2 linked regions of the Mytilus edulis genome follow. The protein of the gene in region 1 binds, or shares a complex with, the protein of each later gene. Links are inferred from orthologs where the notes say so. Each region holds a gene or a part of one and is shown on either strand. Other genes may lie near its edges.

Region 1 (8,271 bases):
ACGTAAACAAATATTTAATTGATAAGATTAAAATCCTTGATGAAAAATAAATAATAATTAAGCATACATATATCATGTATATATATATATTAAAAAAATATTACTAAAAAAACAAGTTATATTGTTTCTCTTTTGTAAGTTCACATATCCCAATAAATGCACAATCTAAATTTGAATTATAATTATGAAAAATTGTAAGAATATAAAAAAATCTGTGTATATATCCATTGTTTTAACTTTATATAATAAATATATATGTATCCTCTTTTTCGGTTCTTTTCAGCATGTTCAGTCCTTTTCGGTTCTTTTTGGTCCTTTTCTGTCCTTTTCGGTTCTTTTCTGTAAATCGTCGCTCTTTTCTGTAAATTGTTGGACCAGAGTTTTTGTCATCAGTTATACATATATATTATGTATATATATATATATATATGTATAACTGATGACAAAAACTCTGGTCCAACAATTATGTATAACTGATGACAAAAACTCCGGTCCAACAATTTACAGAAAAGAGCGACGATTTACATGCACATGATGCATATATATATATATATTTAATATATATATATATATATAAAAAATATATATATGCATCATGTGTATGTTATATTGATACTATTTAATAAAGTTGTTTTCTTCTGAAATGATTTTTTTTCTGTACCATTTTTCCCCACATTGTTCAACTAATCATGCTAATGGAAACAATGAACATGATAAACTGTCCATTTGTAAAAGAACTCAAGACTTGGGTGAGTAAATTATCAAAAAGCTCAACAATAAACTGTAAATACTAAATTATAAGTGGCAAAAGTGACTTTAAGCTTCTAAATATATATTGCAAAAGACTTACACTTCTGATTCATTTTTTGACAAAACATATATGATATGAGGCTGAGATTCCATTTCTGATCCTTCACCTTGCATGGATATGAGTTTTTCAAGGTCAACCTCAGTAACAGAATCTGTTGGTATGGTGATGACCTGTCCAAGGTCATCTTCATTTTTAACTGCATATTCAAAATGTCCAGAGCCATTCGTAGTTGCATATTCTGTTGGCATGGTGATGACCTGTTGATGTTCACTTTCAGTTAAAGAGGTATATTCTGTTGGTATGGTGATGACATGCCCTTCATTCCCATCCATATATTGCAACATATCCATAGGAATTGTTATGACTTGTGTACCAATGTCATCAATGTCTGCAGGCAAAATAACCTTATGTTTAAGGTCATTGTCTGTTATTGCCATGGCAACAGTATTTTCATTGCCATCAATTGTGTTTTCTGTTGGCAAAGCGATCACATGTTCTTTAATATCTCCATCTGTTGTTGCTATGACAACAGCATCTTCAGGAATAGAATTAACATCTACATCAGACATAATGGAAATGTTTGACTGTTCACAAGACTTTACAGGTAAAATATTATGCTGTGTTTCTCCAGAAATTAAATAAGTTACATGTGTTTCCCGACCTATTCCTACAAAAAAAGACAGTCATCAGTTTTGTTCAAATTGATTATCATTATTAACTCGTCCTAGATACCAAGATTGAAATTTTTCACGCCAGAAGCATGTTCATCTCAGCAATGCTCTAAAAAAAGAAATTTAAAAATGCAGATATTTAGTAACAAGTTATAAAAGCATTGAAAGCCCAAATTTATTTATTGTCAAGATAAACTGTGTAAGTTAGTCATTATATTCAGCTGCTCTATGTCAATGATGGCTGCATTTTTGAACGAGAAAATCTAACAGGGACATGGGAGAGGGAGTGAATTATTTGAGTTATTGTAAACATGGTAAGAGTTAAAATTTCAAAAGATTTCAATTTTATGAATGTATAAACGTTTACAAAATTATGTTGTCATTGTTTATCATCTGTCTCTCAGTGTGTATAGCAAGAAAATATATGCAAATTAAGGTGGTACCTAACACTACAGGGAGATAACTCTATAAAGTCAGCTTAACGTTTTAATTACGTTGTGTTGTAAAGGGAATATTAAGCTTCTCAATGATCAAAATTGGTGTATGTCAAACTGCTATATAACCAGTGTAATTTTTCTGACAAAACGGTTGGTTCAAAATCTTTGAAATTTTTATATTTTTGTTAAAGGGTCAAAGTAAATACATTTGTACTTTGACAAAATTTTATGAAAATTAAACATGTCAAATCAATTTTAGTGAAAGTGTTGGGTACCACCTTAAGAAAAAGGAATGTGTTTGAGGACTCGTCCTACTAACACAATAAAAAGTAACCATGGTAACTATCTTTACCAGAATGGAGATTTTCTGTTGTGGAATTACTATCGTCACCATTAATACTGTTCATAATATTTGAGCTGTCCATAGTGAAATTAACTATTAAATGATTCTCATTTCCATCCATTCTAAAAAATAAATTAGAAACATTATACAATCATGACAATAGCTACAAAAATAAGGATAGAAATATGGCGTTATGTCATAAATTTGCTTCATTAGAGTGCAATTTGTGATTTAAAAGTTATCAGTAATGTCTAGATGTCCAATACATGTAATATTTAAACAAATTAATTGATTGTGCCACAAAACTTTCCAAGTCAGAAGCCTGTTATTCAGTGGTTGTTGTTTGTTACCATACATGTTTATCATATATATATTTATTTTTGTTTGAAGTTTTTTTGGTTTTGTACGTAAATCAGGCTTTTGTTGTTTTTCTCATTTCAATTGTTTTCCGTTTTGTTATGTCATGTATGTGAAATTTAAAAAAAAAGATGTGATATATTGCCAATGAGACAACTCTACGCAAGAGACCAGATGACACAGAAATTAACAACTACATGTATAGGTCACCTTTTGAAACCTGCAAATTAGTATGGGTTTGACTTATCATTAATGACTATATATTCACTGACCTACAGTACATGTACATGTGTACCTTATATCTACTCATTTGTTTTCTGGTCATGCTGCCAGGTGGATAGAGGTCTCATTGGCAATCATACGAGGATTCATACATCTCCTTAGTCTATGTTTTGAAAACTTTCAGGTTTAAATTTCAAAATACTGTAATGTCGATGTTGATTGTCTTTGTTTATTCAACATGTTTTAAAAACAAGCTTGGACGCTTAAGACATAGTAGGAAGGTGTCACAGCAAGAAAGACAAACAGCTGAAGGACGCTTCCGGGTGCGGGAATTTCTCGCTGCATTGAAGACCTGTTGGTGACTTTCTGCTGTTGTCTGTTCTATGGTCGGGTTGTTGTCTCTTTGACACATTCCCCTTTTCCATTCTGAATTTATTTGAAGGCGTCATAGCAAGGTGGGTTGTAATAAAGGAACCTTGATGAAGAAGGGTACCTTTGCAATTCATGAAAAATATCGGTAAAAAATCTTACCAAAGGATGTTAACCATGTCAACGGTAATATTTAGTGCATTTTGCTAAAATATACATTTTCTACTTGACATGCTTGATAACAAAAATCAACTGATTTTGACAAATCACAATCAAATAATTATTTGAGACCTCTGACCTGGGATCAGTATATCTAAGGGAAATGATTCTGATCATGCATAAAGGCTTTTCAGTATAAAATTAATAAAGTACCGAGCTACATGAAACTTTACTAGATTAATAGATTTTTGAAGCATCACACTGCAAAAGCATTGAGATTGCTCAATAAATTATCCATATTAAAACAAACTCAACAAATATAAATTTTATTCTAATCATTCTAATGTAGGTATATTTTGTCATACATGTATAAAATTACCAATATACATGTGATTTCTTTGATGTAAAGTGCCATCAGCGCCATTTTATTATTACCCTTTTTGCATTTTGTACTCTTCTGTGATGAAATTAATGTGAATTATGACAATTTTGATGTGACAGAATGCAATTTAGGTGCACTGGCATTTAATGAAATCAGTAGTAATTAGTCAATGCGAGAACATATTTTACAGATGTCGGTTTCTGTATGGTGTTATTGATTAACTATGACTTGTTAATGAAATCGGCTAATATTAGGTAACTACATGTAGTGTCAAGTCTCTTCAATATACAATGTATATGTTCCTGCTCCGACAAATAGCGATATAATGGATATTTTGATATATCACTTTATTTATTTTTTTACCAATTTGACACTAGCGTAAGATGAGAATGACTGTTTAACTCTGACATCAATAAAATTGAGAATGGAAATGGGGAATGTGTCAAAGAGACAACAACCCGACCAAATAAAAAACAACAGCAGAGGGTCACCAACAGGTCTTCAATGTAGTGAGAAATTCCGGCACCCGGAGGCGTCCTTCAGCTGGCCCCTAAACAAATATATACTAGTCCAGTGATAATGAACGCCATACTAATTTCCAAATTGTACACAAGATTGTACACAAATTGTACACATTTCAAGAATGTATCACAGCAAAAAATTAAATTGGCCTTTTTTATTTTAGTTAAATTTCGGGGTACTTGGGTAAGGTTGTTTTATACCTACAGGAACCGTAGCTCTCATGTCCTTATATTTTTTTTTCTCTATTTGTGGACTATCCGCAAAATAAAAAAAGATATATAGAAAGGACCATAAAACTATTAAAAGATACGGTTCCGCAGCTAGATGGTTTTACTGACACATTTAGGTTTTAAGGTATGAAGGTTTAAAAATCGCTTTATGTACAAATAAGTTTTAGGACTGTTGCTGGTGTTTTGTAGTGGTAAGTATATTTAGAGTCATTGTCATATTGATTAGATAAAGGGGTACATGATCTCAGGTGCTCCGGAAGGGTAGGAAAATCGTGCTCCTAATTTGGCACACGTACGACTGATCTATCTGGGTAAAACATTTCAAGAAAATTCATTTCCTGAAAACAACTTTGGTGGGAATAAATGTTTTTTTTTAGTCATTGTGAATGTGAGCAAAATGCATATATGGCCATACTTTGTATCAGAGAAAAAATAAACAGAGAAAATTGTCACCGGAAGTACTGTCAAAATAGTAAACCCCGGACACGTTACGGAAAATGGCTGTCTCACGAGAGGAGGCGAGACTTTGAGTTTGATCCTGATATTTTGCAGAAATGAAACGTAGCTGACGACAATTCTTAATATGTTCCATGTATGTCAGTTGATAAAGTAATGATGACTCACTTAGTTGAGTTTTGAACTTGTAGAATAATCAGATAAAACCCCTGTTCGTCTGACAAAATCAGACATATCAAATGAGACATTTGTCAAATTTTATAGGTGGAAATCAAACAAATTTAAGTTATTATTAATTTCACTTTGATGTATATATAGATCTGCTTAACAACCTTTATACCTATACCTGCGCTATATCTTTATGAATATACCTGCTCCATGATCCTTCTGATTATACCTGCTCCGTGTATTTATGAACATACCTGCCCCGTATCTTTATGAAATGCATATGGGTCTCATTGGGGTCTAAGCGTGACACGGTATTGCCGATATTTTGTAAGCATGACTCGCGAAAGTCAAATTATTGTGTGTGAAAACTGGAAATGAAGTTTAGCGGGACAAGGGAAATTGCAAAAAAAATGAGAATTGCTTACGTACATAGTGTAAGTGGGATACAGGAATCTGACAAAACAGTAAGTGGGATCCGGGATCAGAACCCCCCAATGAGACCCCCCTATGAATATACCATGTGAACCTGCTCTGTATTTTTCTGTTTACTCTTTGCCTATGTATATAACTGTTCTGTATCTTTATAAACATACCTGCTCCAGTCCATATCTTTATGATTATAACTGCTCCATATCTTTATGCAGATACCTGCTATGTATCTATGAATAAACCTGCTCCATATCTTTATGAATGAACCTGCTCTGTATCTTTATGAATACTCATATACCTATACCTATGTATGTAACTGCTCAGTATCTTTATTAATATACCTGTTCCGTTTCATTATCATGCATATATCTGCTGACCTCAGATGTGGTACCTTTCATAAATCTACAAGTTTAACGCAGGTCTGTGTAAATACAAGTTGTTCTTTGAGTAATTAACTTTTCAAAACACTAGTTTATATAGCAAATGTATAGCATGTATAGATAGGGGATTAATAAAGGAATCCAAAGAGCAAAAAAAATACATAGGTCACCGTGCTTGTTTTCAAAATATAAGCCATTGAAATTTTGGCGGGAAAATATTCTCTCTTGACTTTTCATAGCTTTATCATTGACAAGTTGAAGTTCTCAAAAATTGTTAAAAAGTAATTAAAATTTTATAAGAATTTAACAGATGGCTTATCATTATCAATGATTATACATGTAAAAGATTTACAAAAAGAAAAATGGGGGTCACCTGGCAAATTTTTTCAAGGCATTCAAATGGATAAAACCAGAGGATTCTGAAAATCTGACAAAAAATCTAAAACATGACAAGCCAGCTTCCTTAATATTGATAGGATGCAATCCTTTATTCTGTTTTCCATTAAGATCATACCTGCCAACTGTCACTATTTGCATTGGATTTCTCCGATGAAAGCTCCCAAATAGATATTTTAAAAGAGCAATTTTGTCCAAAATTTTAAACAAAACAGTTAATTTTACAATGCTTTAAAAAGTATGAATAAGCCAAAAAACAACAATAAGATACATGTACATTTGAAGATCCCCTTGAAGTTTTTTTAAGACGGTAAGAGCCATCTTGCACGTAAAACACCCATGAACATTTTGAAAAGTTGGCAGGTACATAAAATTGAGAATGGAAATGGGGTATATTCATAAAGATACATGTATGTATACATGATGTAAGATCTTTCCTTTAACAAACGAATTCAGAGGGGATTTTGGGGTAAACATATATATATTGTATTGCGCAAGGAGAAAATTGTTAAAGATAATTTATAAAATGAGGACCTGTCTGTACGTATTAGCCTATGGATCAGTTTTGAAAAAGAGGTGAATGTGCAAAGGGGAGGTGGCACACATATTTTGAGTTACAAAAATGAGTTAGTTGTTCAGAGGTGATACCACTCTGATGCATTCTCAGTGATATCATGGATAGAGGTCAGACTCTTTTCCAACAGATCAGGCCAAATAAAAATATATGTGTGGTTCCAGTGACCCTACCCTCCCTACTTTTTCGTCTTGAAATTAGCCTACATGTACCCGAAAGATTTTATTGTCATTTTTCATTAAGCACTGTTAAAGTCAGAATGATGCTTCCATAGACTCAATGTAAAAAAAAACACCATAAAATAAAAATAATCCCTACCTACCTACATGACCTACCCTAACTTTTTTTCAGATGTAACTGGAACCACACATACTATTTTATTTGGCCTCATCATTTAAAATTATGAAATTTGGTATGATTGCCATGAATAAAACATGTAAAACATTACCATCCTCCAGTGTTCAAATGATTTATATGTTAATAATAATAGGTCACTGTTTGACAACATGATCAAGCTATAAAGAGGAACAGAGATGACAAAATTTTGAAAAATCAAGTTATGAAAACAACTGCCTGATTTGTGGTAAAAATACTAAATTAAAGAAAACACATTAAATATATATAAATAACAGTTCTTAGGATATAAAACTCCAAATTCAAATTAAGACATAAATTGACCAATCAAATAACTTAAGAATTTCAGTGGTCATGCACAAAAATTATTATACATGTCAAGTTATCTAAGGACAGAAGAAAGATACAATGTAAGGGGAGATAATTCCGACTTTTTAATGTAAGAAAAATAGGCAAATATTATTAGAAATATAACCCCTGACCATGCTGACTGTATGGTATAGAACAATTATTGATTCAAAAGGGACTATCAATTTACCAAGAAATGGCTAAATTTTTTTTAAATTCCTTGTTTATAATTATTACAAATTGTGCTAGTTTATCTCGGTCAATTTATCATCAACATGATTTACATGATTTGTGTGCATGGTCTAAAGTATAATCATGATTCAATGTGTAAAAGCAGTATGAGAAAAAATTGTAGTATCCAATCCCTGCCTCATCAAAAACAAGCTATGGCAATCATGCCAATGTATGGCATGAACTAAGTAAATTGAACTATAGTTTAAAAAAATGGATGTTAGGCCACATCAATTTGATTCCTTGTTCGACGGACCCGCCCGCACCTATTTTTTTCAAAACAGAATTTTTTTATTTTTTTTATATTCCCGCTTCCCGCATCCGGAAATGTAATCATGTCTATTTCCCTCACCGTTTTTTTTGTAAATATTATAAAAAGATATCAACATTGGTTTCTTTCCCCCTTACTTATATTCCCTATCAAAACATGTT
Region 2 (8,071 bases), on another chromosome or scaffold:
ATTAGTCAAATGCCTATGTCATTTGTGTGTATTATTATGCCTATGTCATTTGTGGGTATTATTATGCCTATGTCATTTGTGTGTATCATTATGGTTTTAGAAAAGACTTTGTGAGTCATTTATAGCGGTAAAGACTTACTGCATAGTCCTAATGTCCCATCCTCGTATGTGTGTGTCATTTGCAGTGGCTATCTGTGTACAATTATGATGAGGATTCCATTGACCACAGGTGAATTTGGAGTTACCTTTACTATCTAATCCTGTGGAAGCTGTCATCTGTTAACAGATTTTGAATGCAATACTTACACATTTTCAGGGTATGAAAAAATATTGTTCATTTTATACAATTAAATCATACTTGCTTTTTTTTGCAAAGTTTAGATCACTAAAAAATGTAATTTATTAACTGTAAAATTGGAAATTCCAAAGACTTTACAAGTAGCAAGACAAAGGGAGGTAATTCTGATCCTGGTGTGATTTTGCATAAGAAAAATAAATATCAGTTGCAAGACAAAATATAGAAATATTAGATTATGCTGTTAATGTATGATGTCAGATGATAACACAGTTTAGTTTTTGTTTAAAAAAAAGTTCTGACAGATTATTTTACCACAATTGAAAGAAGGGTTGAAATAAGTACCTTTGCAGTGCTTGAAGATGTGTCAATATCCCACAATACTATATGGTTATCTGCAAAGCCTATCACAGCTGAAGTATCTCCGGTTGGGTGCCATAAAACACTGTAAAAAGTAGGATATTGTTGATTTCATGTAAGTAAATACCAGCTCAGATATAACATTTGAAAAAGAGGCTGATGATTCTTTTACATTTCACAAGCAATTTAAATGTATATATTCAGGACAAGAAAATGTTAAAGTGATTTGAATGTTTACTCTGCTTTTTTGGAACTTTGTGAGGCCTTTTTTTTGTGTTATTATTTAAACGTGAGGAATACAAAATGTGCATTTGATATTCCAATCCTGGTATCTATATATGATGAGTTTATTGAGCTAGACAGACACACACAATCTGTGAGTTTGAACATGAATATTATTTATAATGCTTTTTTTCTAACTTTTCTGTGACTGGTTTAATACATTCATGATTTACCTCTGATTAAAACATGCACAAAATTATAAACAGACCTTTTCATGTCACCATATTCTGAGTTATTCAGGTGACAGACCAATCGCACAGCTGGATGTGCTGACTGGTCATCTGCTTGACCACTATCAAAATCAGATGGTAGTCTCCAAATAGCTGCCTTCATTTCTGTCTTTGATTCTGATGCTGCAGATAAAAACATATTAATGTATTATGAATATAAACACTGCTTGATACTAAAATGACATACAGAACTTTTAAATTTAATTTTCAACATACTAGTTCACAAGTCTGTAAAAGGATGTGTTATCCTACGTAGACATATTCTGACTCTGAGCAAACCAGTATTTGCTCTTACTGCTAACTGCTGTGTACTTATCAGACAAGCAGCAAATATGAATTTTCAAGCCTTTGATTTGCTGTGACTTGGGATTGAACTGAGGACCTTCCACACTCAAAGCAAGAATTCTACTACTTAGTACTCACTGAGGTGTTTATACCATTGAATGATGATGTACAGGTATAATCATCATCTTAGTTATTGTTTACTAATATTTCAAATACAATTTAGTTAACTCTTTATTTATCTGTAATTTTATAAAGAAACAGATGACTAGGTTGTCCTTGATGGTGATTTTGTATTTTTTTAATTTTAGTTTCTATGCGATACATGTATACCAGTCATGTCCAAGATCTGAAATAAGAGGCAGGATGGTAAAAAAAAAATCTAATCAACTTACTTTTTTATTATATACAGTCATTTTATTTTATTTTGATGACTTCAGGGATTAAGGTTCTTTGTCAATTTGATTAGATGCTTGTTATGTGCCCCTTTAATACGGTTTACCCATTCCAAATATTTAGCTTAACTTAAATTTACTTTTATTGTAACATGTTGTCATTAAGTCTTTATCAATGGTTGAGGCCTTAATATTCCAGATCTCTCCTTCAGGATGTAGGTAAATGTTTTTGTTAATGATGTTGTTTTCATCATCAAAATCAATGTGATGAATCTGGAAAATAAAATAACATCAGAATCATTTTTTTCCTGATGGGATATCATTCAAAACTCAATTAGACTTCACACATGTATCAGGTTATACTGAAAATTAGGTTTTCCAGTGAGGTTATGCATAATTATAAAACTGACAGAATCTTTAGGTATCATATCTGTTGTTATACAGACATGTAGAATAGAAGTCTCATTTTTAAAGGCCTTATGGTTGCCTATACATTCTATAATTGCTGATATCCACTTCATTTGAACTTTGGTGGATAGTTGTCTCATTGGCAATCATACCACATCTCCTTATTTTTATAGTGTTATTAAGTTTTAACTGATTAGCACAGATTTTATAACCTCAAGTGTACCAGAACCCATCAGGCATCTCATCATATTTGACCAAGTAAGCAATAGAAAATGAAACAAAGACATAGGATAGAACAAAGGTAGTGAAAAATAATCATGCTTATCAAAATTATTTCTTTGCCCAATTCAGTATATTAAGGTTTCAATAATAATACAATGTGTCAAGATATTTAAATAATGATTCATGTTTAATGAAGAATTTTGTTCCTGCTGATTTACCTGATTTTCTACTCGTAAAGACTGAGTTCCAACAAGAAACCTGATCTTATCAGTTTCTCCTGTTTGTGCAGTTAATGCTTTGGCCTGTTGAATGATAAAAAAAATATCATTCTATTAATAACTTAAATTTATAGAAGAGTTATACAAATAATAATTGTGTCACTGCGACTGCATGCACTATTTCTTTATGTTTAATATTGTTATTAAGCTTTTACATGTTAAACATGTACTCATATCATATTTCATGTGTCATGTTCATCATTTGTACTGATTATCATATTACATTGACGAATGACAACTCCAAATCAAGCACACCTTATTACTAACATGCTCTCTACTTCCCGCTAAAAAAATACTGTCTTACCTGTAAAATCTTCTTACACCTGTGCTCTAACTCTGAATTCAGGCATTGAAACCTGCTGATGGCCTTTGCTAATAGCAATATATATTTACAAGTTGTTTTCTATTTCTTAGATTTGTGGTTTGGATCTAAAGTTTTTGTTTTTAACTTTTTTTGTATTCTTTGAATACCATTTGTTTAATGTTATATTTATACTATTTGTAACTATCATTGCATATATAAATTTTTTGTGGGCACTTGCATGTATGAACTTATATACACCTTATCGCTATTTGTCCGCCATTACTGGATATCACACAGGTTCCTGTAAAATTATGACGTCATAAAACAAAATGGCTGATGCCACAATTAAAAAGTGATTGTTGTATGCGTCAAAAGTTCAAGCGGCCAGGTCAGCCGGGATTAGCGATAAGGTGTATTGTCCTATCCATATGCAAACTAGAATGTGTCCATAGAACATGTACAGTGGACCATGAAATCGGGGTCAAATCTCTTATTTTAACATTTTCGTCCCCATTCACAGGTTATGCCTGCCTCATATTATGAAAAAATAAAGGATGGCAGGTAGATGAAACTTACATAAATGAATCATGGATTAGAAATGAAAAAAATTCTTGAGACCCGATTTATATAGACTCAAGGACGTCAGTCGGCTCCAGGTGCAAAGAAGCAGTGCATCCATTTTGGACGGGCAACTATCCAATTTATATTTGGGACTAGTCAAAATATTTATAACGTCTTGGAAGGCTTTTTTGCTTTGAAAGAAAAAAATATAATAGCCTTGCAAGATGTCATATTCATATAATTTATTATTTGGACTAATTTGGGACGAGTTCTAAAGCGATTGATGCCTTACAAAACCAATTAGTATGAGAAGCTGACATTATGGTTATCTTCCAGGAAAAGCATTTTTTAACAGTTTTTATCAAATATAACGGAGATAACCTGAAATTCTAGCCCATAAATAACCGGCGATTCGTCGTCCATATCTGTGTGTCTGGTCCCTAAAATTATTTCTGTCGGACAGGGGATGGGGGGAAACGGAAACCAGTAGCCTAAGTCAATTTTCGGCAGTCGTAAAAAGTAAAACATAAAATTATTTAATTATTATTTTAAAACAAATAACTGTAGCTAATGCCAGACAAAATGTATTTGATGGCAATGTAATCTGTTTCAATACTCTTTTTTATTCCATTCATGAAATTATTTTTTATGACATTCTACACATAATTTGATGACGTATACACAGCACAGTGTCCGTTCGTCGAAAAAATTAGCAGGTTGATTTCAATTTACCCTTTTCTTTTATATATACTGTTTGCCCCTAACGTCTATGACAGAATGTCCTGTATGCTTATCCTTTCATACCCCATTAACATTGGAGTCTGAAATTATATAATGACAAATAGTAAGAATGGAAAATGGTGAATGTCAAAGCGACAACCTGACAACCCGACCATAGAGGGGTCTCATTTGGGCTGTCTGATCCCAGATCCCGCTTACTGTTTTGTCAGATTCCCGTATCCTGCTTATACTATGTACCTAAGCGATTCTCATTTTTTTGTTAATTTCCCGTATCCCGCTAGACCTTAATTCTAGTTTTCATGGCACAATAATTGACTTTCCCCTGTGACGTCACGTTTACAAAAAAATCGGCAATTCCACGTCACGCTTAGACCCCAATGAGACCCACCATAGAGCAGACAACAGCCGAAGGCCACCAATGGGTCTTCAATGTAGCGAGAAACTCCCGCACCCGTAAGCGTCTTTCAGCTGGCCCCTTAAAAAAATATGTATACTAGTACAGTGATAATGGACGTCATACTAAACTCCAATTATACACAAGAAACTAAGATTAAAAATCATACAAGATTAACAAAGGCCAGAGGCTCCTGACTTGGGACAGGTGCAAAATTGCAGCGGTGTTAAACATGTTTATGAGATCTCAACCCTCCCCTATACCTCTAGCCAATGTAGAAAAGTAAAAGCATAACAATACACACATTAAAATTCAGTTCAAGAGAAGTCTGAGTCGGATGTCAGAAGATGTAACAAAAGAAAATAAATAAAATGACAATAATACATAAATAACAACAAACTATTAGCAGTATCATACTATCATGAAATATATGAGAAGAACATAACCCGTGTCATGCCAACAACTGTTTTTTAAAAATAAATGTGTTTACTTTAGTTCCGATGCAAAGACCCTATAAGTAAATCAATATTAAGGATGTACTTAGGTGAGGTTTTGGATTTTTGTCAAATGTTCAGACTCCTTGGTGTTTTTCCATACAATACAATGTAAAATATTTTGCCCCATAACACCCATTTATTTTTTCATATAAGACTTAATAGCTCATGAAAGGTCATTTACCAACATTTTAGAAGATTCTTAATTTTCTTTCTTTTGTTTTGAGACCCAAATAATACCAATGCAAATATAAGGTAAAAGTCTGAGTCAGCCTTTTCCCGCCATATTTTAAATCTCAAATATCTCGAAACATCTTGTCGATATCGTCTGAAGACTCCTTATTGATTTTTTTGTCATTTAATAATTATCTTTACTCATTTTTGCCTAATAAGTTAAAAATGATAATAGAAAGATGGAAATTTATTCATAAAGCAAACTTGATGAGCAAAACAAGATCTACAAGAAGGTTTTTAGCAAGGAAATCATCTGGCGACTCTTTAAGAAATTGCCCATTAATAACAATTTTACATTTTTTGTTGAGTTTTTCCTTAAAGGGGCACTAGCTACGAGATTGATAAAAAATCAAATGTATTATATCTTATGCTCAATCATTAATGGAATGTAATTTGTATATTGTATAATATAAAATTAAATAGATCTAGAATAATCCGAATAGCAGGAGTTTGCTTAATTTATTTATATCTATATTTATGTTTACATTGCTTATATGGTCATCGGGACGGATGACTTTAGGGGTCAACTCGACAATTAATTAGATGGCGTTTAGACTAAAATACACACGAAATGAAGCTACATATTTTCATGCGGTGCCCTGTTAATTGTTTATTTTAGACTTTTGATATTTTGTATAAATGTTTTACATTGTTATAAATTAAACATGAGAATTTGATTAAAATCGGTGAACATGAATTTGACAGCTAGTGCCCCTTTAATGTTGAAATGGTAAGTGAACTCTTATTTAGAGTTTTGTGCTTTAATGACGATATTTATCAATATTTATCAATTTATCAATTTATTTTTACACATTTTGTATTGCAGCGGTACAATTTCTTAAGATATTTTAACTATTTAGTTCTAATCTGTCAGTGAGCTCATTAACATTACAAAAGTTTAAATTGTTTAGCTGAACATCTACATTTTTTGTAAATTCTACATTATTGATCATGACACACACATTTGAATAATATATTACATGTAATTATTTAAACACAAAACATTCATTTCAGTAAAGTAGATAATGGCTGATGATAATGTTGAAGAATTTTTAGAAGATGAATCTTTATCAGAAAAAGAATTCCACCTCCAGAATCCTGATGTAGTTATAAGGGGGACAACTCTTAGACACTCTGCTACAACAGATACTTTAGATTCTGTTTATCTAGAACCAACAGCAGTTGAGGAAGATGTTCAAGATATTATTACGGCCATACCAGATTTAGTTAAAGGTTATATTGAATAGTAATTTTAAAATGAGTTGAGATTTAATACTAGAAAAAAATAGAAAAAATATTTGAATAAGCTCTCGCCGCGATATAGCCTTTTTGTGCTAATGCAGCGTATAGCAAAGAACAATCAATCAATCAATACTAGAAAAAGAGTCTTAAAAGACAACTTGACTACAAGTTAACTACAAGATTTAACTTCCAATTCGCATTATATATTGTACATGTTGTGAACTTTAAATAATGAAATAAACATTTATCTTACCAAGACAAGTATTTGACAAACTTGTTAAATTTACATGAACCTGAAAAGTGTCCTCATTTCATGTCACTTTAAAACAAAATGACTATTAAACAAAGTAACATTATGCATACATGTACATGTATGTTAACTTAATTTTAACCTTTCACAGCCTTGAATTGTATTCAAATCTTGTGGAAATATACAGTTGATTCATCTTAATACATTGTTACAAGGTAAGGCACATTTTCTATGGATTGGTGAATATGAATTGATGAAGACTATCAGGTTCTGTCTTTAATGTTTTATTTTACTGTTATTTTCTTTGTTTTCAAAGATACATTTTTGGTACATGCATTTTTTGATAATATATACATGTACCCTGTTGGAACATTTTTAGAAGATTTTGAACATTAAAAGTGGATATATTTATCCCAGTCTCTGTCATTCAATAAAACAATCAAATTTCCTTACAGCATGAACATTATTGCAATATTGTTTATTTTTTCAAACTGAATTTTAATGATGTGTTTTATATGGGAAAAGTGCCAAATTAGTTTGAAAACATTTATTTGAAAATGGCTAGGTACAAACTGTAGGTGATAAATGCCTCTTATAATAAGATTAGCAATTCCTCAGCCTTTTACATGAATTATTGTACAATGTAGACTATTTTGATATACAATATATGTGTTCATGTCTGAAGTTGCCAGGGCATATAGTGTAACCCATGTTTGTACATCTGCCATTTTATTATTGCAACATTCTAAGATCAAACAGTAGTCTGGACTCTTTTTGTTTTCCTGCTGAATAATTTCTTATATATTTTCTACCTTATACAGAATCTACAGACAGTGATTCTGCCTCTGGTATTCTGGAAGAAACAATAGAGACTGTGATTGATGTGGGAAAAAAGGTGATAGATCAAATACCTGATGTGGGAAAGAAAGTGATAGATCAAATTCCTGGTCTAGTAAAGGAACTAAAAAACACAAATGAGGCTCAAGGCCAAATGAATATAAGTAGTTATTTTGCTGATCAAAACTCACTTGACGACCCTTTCAATAGCTCAGCTTTTGTAAATGTATCATCAGAAGATGCTATTCAAACAACAGAAGAA

What was found.
Region 2: trafficking protein particle complex subunit 9-like (region 1) and trafficking protein particle complex subunit 12-like share a complex: the UniProt entries of both Homo sapiens proteins name them as parts of the multisubunit TRAPP (transport protein particle) complex. The link is inferred for Mytilus edulis from reciprocal best matches to the Homo sapiens genes TRAPPC9 and TRAPPC12.

What each region holds. Positions count from the first base shown.
Region 1 is NC_092355.1:34,285,120-34,293,390, forward strand, and holds the start of trafficking protein particle complex subunit 9-like, read left to right. Parts: upstream 1-4,977; 5' UTR 4,978-5,095; exon of another isoform or gene 5,096-5,112; intron 5,113-8,271. Other genes in the region: uncharacterized protein, read right to left, coding at 851-1,478, 2,272-2,383. UniProt on the Homo sapiens protein: Functions as an activator of NF-kappa-B through increased phosphorylation of the IKK complex. May function in neuronal cells differentiation. May play a role in vesicular transport from endoplasmic reticulum to Golgi.
Region 2 is NC_092344.1:109,873,990-109,882,060, reverse strand, and holds the start of trafficking protein particle complex subunit 12-like, read left to right. Parts: upstream 1-4,240; 5' UTR 4,241-4,333; intron 4,334-6,494; 5' UTR 6,495-6,505; coding exon 6,506-6,713; intron 6,714-7,793; coding exon 7,794-8,071. Other genes in the region: EARP and GARP complex-interacting protein 1-like, read right to left, coding at 140-276, 641-740, 1,146-1,290, 1,985-2,117, 2,693-2,776, 3,999-4,040. UniProt on the Homo sapiens protein: Component of the TRAPP complex, which is involved in endoplasmic reticulum to Golgi apparatus trafficking at a very early stage.